Caenorhabditis elegans: one gene and its partner. The protein of the gene in region 1 interacts with the protein of each later gene in a pairwise test. Each region holds a gene or a part of one and is shown on either strand. Other genes may lie near its edges.

The links. Proteins that work in one complex are often made in the same cells at the same time.
Region 2: the proteins of C05C10.5 (region 1) and ZC239.15 interact in a two-hybrid assay, tested with the Caenorhabditis elegans proteins (one large-scale study listed by BioGRID).

Annotation. Positions count from the first base shown.
Region 1 is NC_003280.10:9,936,921-9,941,502, reverse strand, and holds C05C10.5 (uncharacterized protein), read right to left. Parts: upstream 2,464-4,582; 5' UTR 2,277-2,463; coding exon 2,235-2,276; coding exon of another isoform or gene 2,231-2,234; intron 2,190-2,230; coding exon 2,086-2,189; intron 2,038-2,085; coding exon 1,696-2,037; intron 1,640-1,695; coding exon 1,489-1,639; 3' UTR 1,071-1,488; downstream 1-1,070. Other genes in the region: ufd-3 (Ubiquitin fusion degradation protein 3 homolog), read right to left, coding at 1-136, 184-290, 340-652, 698-742; C05C10.7 (uncharacterized protein), read left to right, coding at 2,568-2,617, 2,668-2,901, 2,956-3,048, 3,093-3,360.
Region 2 is NC_003280.10:3,222,490-3,226,945, forward strand, and holds ZC239.15 (BTB domain-containing protein), read right to left. Parts: upstream 2,243-4,456; 5' UTR 2,155-2,242; coding exon 2,044-2,154; intron 1,999-2,043; coding exon 1,729-1,998; intron 1,416-1,728; coding exon 1,304-1,415; intron 1,262-1,303; coding exon 1,056-1,261; 3' UTR 844-1,055; downstream 1-843. Other genes in the region: ZC239.13 (BTB domain-containing protein), read right to left, coding at 21-164, 215-325; ZC239.16 (BTB domain-containing protein), read right to left, coding at 2,281-2,637, 2,686-2,796; ZC239.17 (Potassium channel tetramerization-type BTB domain-containing protein), read right to left, coding at 2,993-3,391.

The DNA of each region.
Region 1 (4,582 bases):
CTGAGAGAGTGGTATCTCCAAACCACATACGAATTGTTTTATCAGCACTGGCAGATAGATAAGTGTTGGGAAGATCCGGGAAAGAAGCGAGAGCCCACACAGACAAGGTATGGCCTGGACAAACAATAGTCTGGAACTAATTTAACTTTAAAATCCAGTAAAAAACGATTAAAAATATATTACAGTGAATGACGACGAGTTCAACTCGGTAATCGGCCAGATGATGACGTTGGAATCCCACGAACCACTCAGCATGTGAGTCGCTTTTTCGTTAATGTGAAGACAGCAAACTGAAATTATTCATTTTGCACTTTTGAATATTTTTTAAAGCAAAAATACCATTCTGTTTATGCTCATTGAAAATTGCATATGGTTCCGCCTGACTCGGGCCAAAAACTGCAATTGTTCCATCTCTTCGGCCAACAAAAAGTCTCCATCCGTCCGCTAGTTCAGCGTATGCAATGGAGTTCACAGTTATTCCTTTCGGTTGTTCAAAGGCGTGCGTTTTCGTATACTGTTTTCCTTTTTTTGCCCAAAATTTAACCGTCTCATCACGACCACCCGATATCAAGCATCCGCCTTGAGTAACTGCCAAAGCCTTTGTGTCGGATTTGTGGGCTTCAATAACATGGGAAATTGTGTACTGTGGCATCTGCAAAATAAATTCCACTTCAATTCGGCAAATTCTAAAACTCACACTTTCCGTTTCCATTGGCACGTCACCGAGACCGTCATCTGCCATTATCTGAAGAATAGCTTTTAATTAAAGTTAATCAACAAAAAAATATAACGAAATTGAGAAAAATCCGAAAAAGTTTTGATGACAAACTGCAAACGATGCTCCGAACTAACGCCACATGGAAGAGGATTTCTACGACCCCGCAGTAGGCAAATTTGCGGGAATTCAAAATTTAACACTGATAGGATGCAATTTTTTGGAGAAGGGCATTCAGATTCGCTTAAATAAATATTTGAAGTTTCACAGAACATCAAGACTTTGCAAAGAGTGTTAAAAATTCAATAATTAAAAATAAATAATACTTTTATCGGCAAACTTTTTTTAATTTAGTAGGTTTTTTGAGAGCGAAATTTACATCGCACTAGATAGTCTCGAAACAGGAGTGATACCTTTTTAATTCTTCAAAAAAAAAACAAGAAAGGAACCGAGTTTGATAGACAATTGATTTATTTTTGTCCTACGCAAGTATAAATGGGGAAACGGTGTTGGTTCATTATAAAACAACATAAAAACGCTAAAACAGCGATACCAATAGACTACAAACATTAAACGAAAGTTATTATTGCACACAACTAATCAATGAGTGGGGTGGATTCAAGAAGATTGATTATATTAAGGAATTATAGGTATATCACAATTATGACTCATGGCAACAATAAGGTTTAGTAAATTTTTTAAAGATAAAAATGCGATCTCAACTGGAAAAATGTGGATAAAACGTTGAGGGGCAGCAATTTCAGTCCTGGGAATCATGTAGACAGATTGCCGACCTGTCTGAAGATTGATTTACCGCTATCCGGAAGTCGTCCCATTCGCTGCAGAATGATGTACTCGTCGGCTGCTGGAAGTGTATCCTCCGTTGGCATTTCGTCGAATGGCCCAAGATACCGGGTTTGCGATCTGAAAATTTTAATATTTAAATTGAGCCTAAAAACAGCTAGAAAATCCAAACTCACTTGGCAAAGAACTCTCCAGGTGTCAGAAGACCACGGAAGAAGCGATTGAAGTCCTTTGGAATCGCACGAACTCCTGGCAATTGTGTCGGGGAGAGTGCTCGACGACGTGGCTGCCCATTGTCGATATTTCCTGCACGCATATTCTCTTGATTTATGCGATTTGCAGCGTCTTGTGCTGGTCTTCTGGCGTCATTGGCGTTCAATTGCCGCAATGGACGCCGCTCTGGAAGTCGAATCGGAGCCACACGGTTGACACGTGGCGGCGGTGTCCGTCTGATCGCTCTTCTGACGTCTGGTGATGGTTCACGTGGTGGCGGGCTTTGCGATCTTCTGCGGTCAAGCCTGAATAATCTTATTATAGAAACAATTATATAACATTTTGGGACAAACAATTCTCTCCATCCCTTTTCGCTGAGCTCCGAGGCTCTGGTCCATCCACTGGGGAAGATTTGGAATGGATCTGCAGGCGGGGGACACAGAATATCAGCTTCTACCTGAAAATATAAATATTGTAAACGAATTTTAATTCAAGAACTCACAGCACGCAACTGGTCCCAGCGATTTCCATGAAAATGCTCCATAATTAGTGTGTGAAATAGGTGAGAGGGAGAAAAAATGGGTCTGTGGAATGAATGACAAGCGAAAATTTAAATGAAAAAATCAGAATTTTCCCGCGCATAATTTTAATTTTCGACTGATACACTTTCATCGGTAAAATAGAGGCAGATCAATAAAATAAGTAGGTCGAAAATAATTGTTTTTGTTTTTTTTTAAACGCGCGCGCACAAATAGTTCAAACACGATGACGCAAAAATACACAGTTTCGCAGTTTTTTTAAATTTCTTTTGTTTTACAACACTCTTTTCTGAAAAATGTCAGATTTTGACGATTCTGATTCAGAATTTCAAGGATTTGAGCTAAGGTTTGTTTTATTTTAATAACTAATAATAATTCTAATATTAACTTTTACAGATCACCTCAGATCCATGTAAAAGAATTCTTGATAGTCGAAGAAGAAACTCCAAAAATCATCAAAAAGGAAGAGGTTCCAAGGAAGTTCGAATCCGAGTTTGTTGGCTCATTTCTGGGAGAAAGTCCAGTTGTACTTTCAAAAGAAACAGCGTTTGGAGAAGCTGGAGAGTCGGAAGTTCTGGATTGGGATGCCAGTACAGTTTTCAACAGCCTAGCTTGCCCTGAAAACAACCTGTGCGTTTTTTAAAAGTATACATTTTATAAAGAATTAAATTTGCCTTTTTCCAGAGAAAAGTCAGTATGCGTCATTCGTCTCCACGACGTCCTCACAAAATCCGAAATGGGAGTACACAAAATGAAGCGACAACTTATTCATTGCGGGTCGGTCTTGGAAATCAAACTTTTCATCAATTGTCAATTTTAAGACAGCTCCTTGATGAATATTCTCCTCAACAACGTCGTGATTTGGGCTTTGATGATTCTCAAAATGTGAAGAATCTTCTTCAAATGATCCGAGCGTTCCGGTCAACTGTTAAAATCATGCTGATCGACGTGGAGGATCTTCAGGACCAGATTACACAAGAAGCGCAAGATGAGACCCCAATTATATCCAAATTTTCGAAACTTTTATACGTTTCCGGTGCATTAGCCGTCATTCCTATTTGTTGGTTTATGTACCGCAGATTTTGTTAAGTTATCTTTTAAATCTTGAATAAAAATTTAAAAAAAACATATGTTTTATTAAAATTGCTCTTATTCGTAACTATGTACGGATTTATATATATTTTTTTAATTGTACAATTCGCTAAAATGACAGTAAACTACATTTGAAAATTTTATTTAAAAAGAAGCTAACGTCAGTAGCACACTTGTGTCCTGGCCACCTGTCTCTGTTGCCCTCCCATCCTTATCACAGATCACACTTCAAACATCAAACTTCTCAAGGCAGAACTCCTCCCAAATATCACCCGAATTTTTCTTCTCAAAACTTTTCGCCAGTCTCACAACCACGTGTTTCCCAGACCTTCAGTTAACTTCACTTCTCATTTTCCCTGATTTTCTGTCTGCGTCTCTATAAAAAGTAGACAAAAAATGCGAAAAAGAAACGTTTTTGTGTACTCAAGTTGTGACACACTCGCTCAGACTATTGGCTACTGATGGTTTTTAGTTTTTTTTTTGCTTTAGACAATTCTACCTCTAAAAATTAAGATTTTATAACAGTTTTCTAAATTTTTATTAGTTCAGTGAATTTATCATGATTTTTCTAGAGCCCCATCGGAATTAACATTGAAAATTTTACCCAGACGCGTTATTTTTGCAACTTTTGTACTAAAAATACAGAACCCGGTCTCGACACTGCAAAGTTTGTTAATTGAAAAAATATGTGTACCTTTAAAGAGTACTGTAGTTTTAAAATTTCGTTGCAGCAAAATTTTTATATTTTTTCTCGCATTAAACTTTAACTGTTTTTATTGTTTTGTTTTAGTTTTCTTGATAATATTTTGAAATACTTGAGATAATTGAAAAACTGTGAAAAAATCTATGAAAATCATACAGAAACGATAGTTTGAAATTACCGTACATTTTAAAAGCGCACTCCTCTTCGCGTTATTACGGGAACAATAAATCATGAGAATGCGTACTTGGTACCGTAATAAATAAAAAATTGTCGTGTCGATACCGGGTTTTATTATTTTCAGTAAATGAGACGTTCCCATCACTAAAACGTTTTATTTGTACGTTTCCGCTACTTTATTGTAAATAATATTGATAAGAAATCAAATACGCAACACGGAAATTGTTATCGAGTATCAACACACAATTATAATCTTTTCTACTTAATACCGATTCCTTGTTCCACAAATTTGACTTTCTGGTTTTTCCATCTTATAATCCTAAATATATTGTTTCTTTT
Region 2 (4,456 bases), 6.7 Mb from region 1:
ACCCAATTCAATGAGTCCATTCAGCAAATAATATTGAGCCTCTGCCAGCAATTCTTCCAATTTTCGGGAAGTGACAGGTCACCATCTCTCATGAAATTTAAAATCCTGTTAAAATGTTTCGGGGAGCGATCGATAAAAATGCATCCGGATTCGTCAAGTTCCAGCTGAAAATTTTCAAGTTTTCAAATCAGGTAAGAAATCAATATCATGAAACCCCTGTTCCAGATTCCAGCATAGTTTTAAAAATGCTATCGAGTTTCATTAATGTATCTTTTGAAGTTTTGAAAATAGTTCCGCCAACGTCTAGTTTAACAGTTTCACTCATTTTTGAAAAGTTTTTGAGAGGAAAAAGAGAGAAAAACGGAGTGAAATTGTGTTATCAGTGAGCCGATCGATTTTGAATTATCAGTGTTGCGAAATTTTGTTTTTTTTTTTACAAAAAAATCAAAAATGTTAAGAAATAAAAAAAAACTTCTGAATTGAAAATATTGTCAAAAAATCCACAAAATGAGTTAATTATCTCTTTCTCTGCTTCTCCAAATACAAATATTGACCAAACTCCCCAATCATTTTTTCTAATTTTTCCAAAAAAGTTGCATCCCGAATTATCCGTCCGCCTCGATTAATTCGAAGATTGTGCGGAAATTGACTATAATATCCATTCTCGGTAGATTTCCACTTTATCCTAGCTTTCCATTTTCGAGAAGGTTCGTCTTCACTCAATCGCTCTTAATCGATTACGGTAATCAGACCCTTTCACATTCAAACATAGTTTTGAATAATCCATCACATTTTATTAATGTCGGTCTTGAAGTTTTAAAAATAGTTCCGCCGATGTCTAGTTTAACAACCTTGTTCATATTTTAAAATAGTTACGGTTTGAGGCACAGATGCAACCAAACTCAAAAAATAAAAATAAGAATGTTTGTTATCAATCAGACTTTGAACTTATCCATGTGTTTTGTGTTTAAAGATAAAAAAACAAGCTTACTAAATTATAATTTTTTAAGCTTCTAAATTAGAAATATTGTCGAAAAATCCATAAAATAAGTTAATTATCTATTCCTCTGCTTCTTCAAATACTCATCAAACTCCCCGATCATTTTTTCCAATCGTTCCAAAAATGTTGCATCCCGTATTATCCGTCCACCTCGATTAATTCGAAGATTGTGTGGAAATTGACTGTAATATCCATTCTCAGTAGGTTTCCATTTTATCCTTGCTTTCCATTTGCGAGAAGGTTCGTCTTCACTCAATCGCTCTGAATTGACTATTTTATGAGGATAATGTACAAAAAACTTACGAAAATAAATATCGAACTGATGTGAATACTTTTCCATGAACTCGTAAAGATTAAAGTTATAGGGAATCGACATATCATTCCCAACCATGCAAAATTCAATTATGAGCATTGGCTGTAAAAATTATATGTAGAGCTGAAATTTTTTGAAGAAACTGGTTAATTATTTTATGATTGACAAACGCCATACAGTGTGGCCTTACTATTAGGACTACAGCTTGCACTGGCCTATAGTTTAAGCCACGTCCTAGCCAGGGACTGTGGCCGATAATACAGTCATGGATTGCTCCACTCTCCAATACAGACTGGGTGAACCTAGGGGATGAGTCTAAACTTGAAACCGCAACCTCTAGCTTTCTAGCAGCTACCACTACCGACTGAGATATTCCTATGAATTTGAAAAACTACATTATTTTATCGAAACTCACCTTCTGTTGAACAGCAAGAATTTGAAGAAATTGTTCATCGCTTTCAATAAATCGAAGTTTTATCTTTGGAGCTTCAACAAGCTCAATCTTTGAATTGCACAACTCAATGAGTCCGTCGAGCAAATAGAATTGAGCTTCTACTAGCAGCTCCTTCAGTTTCAATTCACAATTGGGTAGAACCACGTCGCCGTCTCGCATAAAGTTCAGTATCAAGTCGAAATTTTTCGGAGACCGATCAATAAAAATACTCCCAGATTCGTCAATTTTTAGCTGAAAATTTGAAAATTTATCGGGAAATTTTTGGAAAAATCGGACCCCAATGTCACTCTCCAACATAGTTTTGAAAAATCCATTGAACTTTGTTAATGTAGATCTTGAAGTTTTGAATATAGTTCCACCAACGTCCAATTTCACAGTTTCACTCATTTTCGAAGAGTTTTCTAGGGGAGAAAAAGAGAAAGATGGAGTAAAATTTTGTTATCAGTTATAAGATTATCGATCAGTACATATTTCAAAATGATTTTTTTTAACAAAAATTAAAATTTCCAACAACTAAAAAAGATAACATTTATTTCTTTTTTCAACAATAAAATAGCCTTTTAGTGCAGGCATGTAATACACAAACACTAAAACCAAAAAAATTATTGAAAAAACAAAAAACCATGATAAATCATATTTTTTAGTGTTTGCTCTTTGATCAATTTGGACCTTTTTTGTAGAATTAAGTTTATCACAGCACATTAAGACTAGACCATCCAACCAGTAGAATTGAGCTTCTGCCATCAATTCTCTCAGCTCTCTTTCATCTTCTGGCAGTGGCAGATCACCATCTCTCATTAAATTCAGAATCAATTCAAAGTGTTTCGGGGACCGATCTATGAAAATGCATCCGGTTTTTTCAATTTTCGGCTGGAAATTTTCACGTTTTTTTTTGGAAAAAAACAACGATTTTCATACCCCAGTTTTGCATTCCAACATAGTTTTGAAAAAGCTATGGAACTTTGTTAATGTATCTTTTGAAGTTTTGAATATAGTTCCGCCAACGTCTAGTTTAATAATTTCACTCATTTTTGGAGAGTTTTTGAAAAAAATTGTAGAGGAGAAAAAGAGGAAAGTGAAATGAAGGTTTGTTATCAGTGAGTCGATCGATTTGAAGTTATCAGTGTTTTCAATTGATTTTTTTCCATACTATAATAGGTTTACGTTCGGGTCTGTTCACATTTCTATGATAGCATAATACAATGAAAATTGCGTTTAATAGCCACTAAAATAGGTAGCATTTACTAGATTTTTCAACAATAAAATAGCTTTTTAGTGCAGGGATGTAATACACAAATACCAAAAAAATTAATGAAAAAACAAAAAAACGAGTATAACTATTATTTTTAGTTATTGGTTTTTGATTTTGAATCATTCGGAAGTTTATTATAGTGCTAAGTTTCACACCGCACTTATTGTACAGTCCAAACATCTGATAGTAATTTGCTTCCGCACACAACTCTCTCAATTCCTTCTCAGTTTCGGGCAACCACAGATTCCCATCTCTCATTAAGTTCAGAATTAACTCGAAGTGTTTCGGGGAACGATCAATAAAAATGCATCCGGATTTTTCGAGTTTCGGCTGAAAATGTTCAGGTTTTTGGAGAAATATAGTCAGCAACATTATACCGCAATATCACTTTCAAACATAGTTTTAAAAAAGCTATCGAGTTTCGTTAATGTATCTTTTGAAGTTTTGAATATAGTTCCACCAACGTCTAGTTTAATAATTTCGCACATTTTTTGGAGAGTTTTTAAAAAAATTGTGGGGAAGAGAAATGAAGAAAGTGAGATGAAGTTTTGTTATCAGTAAGTCTATCGATTTGCAATTAACAGCCATTTTTATATTTTTAACAAATTTTAGGAAATAGTGGCGGTGGAGTTTTTTTCAAGACATGTATAGAAAACTTTCCGATTTCCGCTTTTGCAAATTGTGCAAAATTTCTGAAGGAATTTTTATAAGAAAAAACGGATGACACATATTTTTGACATTTTTTCTCGTTTTCAGCAAGAATTCTAATATATTTTTTCTCATTTTTCATGTAAGATACGTGTAATTTTGCAGTTACAACTGAAATTTCAAAATTTCCAATAAAAAATGCAATACCTCAGTCGAAATTTTTCGGCAATTGAAGTTTTTGGCAGCTTCACAAAAAATTGAAAAATTTCCCATATTTTTTGAAACCAGCAGTTTCCGAAGATTCCAATTGCCAAAAATTTTCAAAACACTACAGTTTAAAATTGGGGTTATAACTTCATTTTTTTTTGTTTTTATAATCATACAGTGTGGGAAAGTTCTATAGGACCCCCCCTAATTTGAAGGTTTGAGGAACTTCCGAAAATTTTTTCGAAAAACTGCTAATGCCGTTCGTTTTTAAATTGAAAAAAACCTATATAAATTTTTTTCCAGAAGTTTATCTCAAAAACTGAGGTCGCGCTGGAAAAAACGTCAAAATCCAGTGTGAAACTTCTATAGGACCCCCCGTTTTTTTTCACGATTTTTACTAAAATCAACAGATTTTGGAATTTTTGACAAAGCTCAAATCAAGTTTGAGTTAGAAATGAGTTCATATAAGCAGTTTTGACTTTAAAAAATTAATACGAAATGTTCTCGTGGGATCTCCAGACTGGTTCTGATTCTTCCGATCTTTGATGTTCAAGTCTGTTTCAAGCTTCCTGGTGCTCTCGG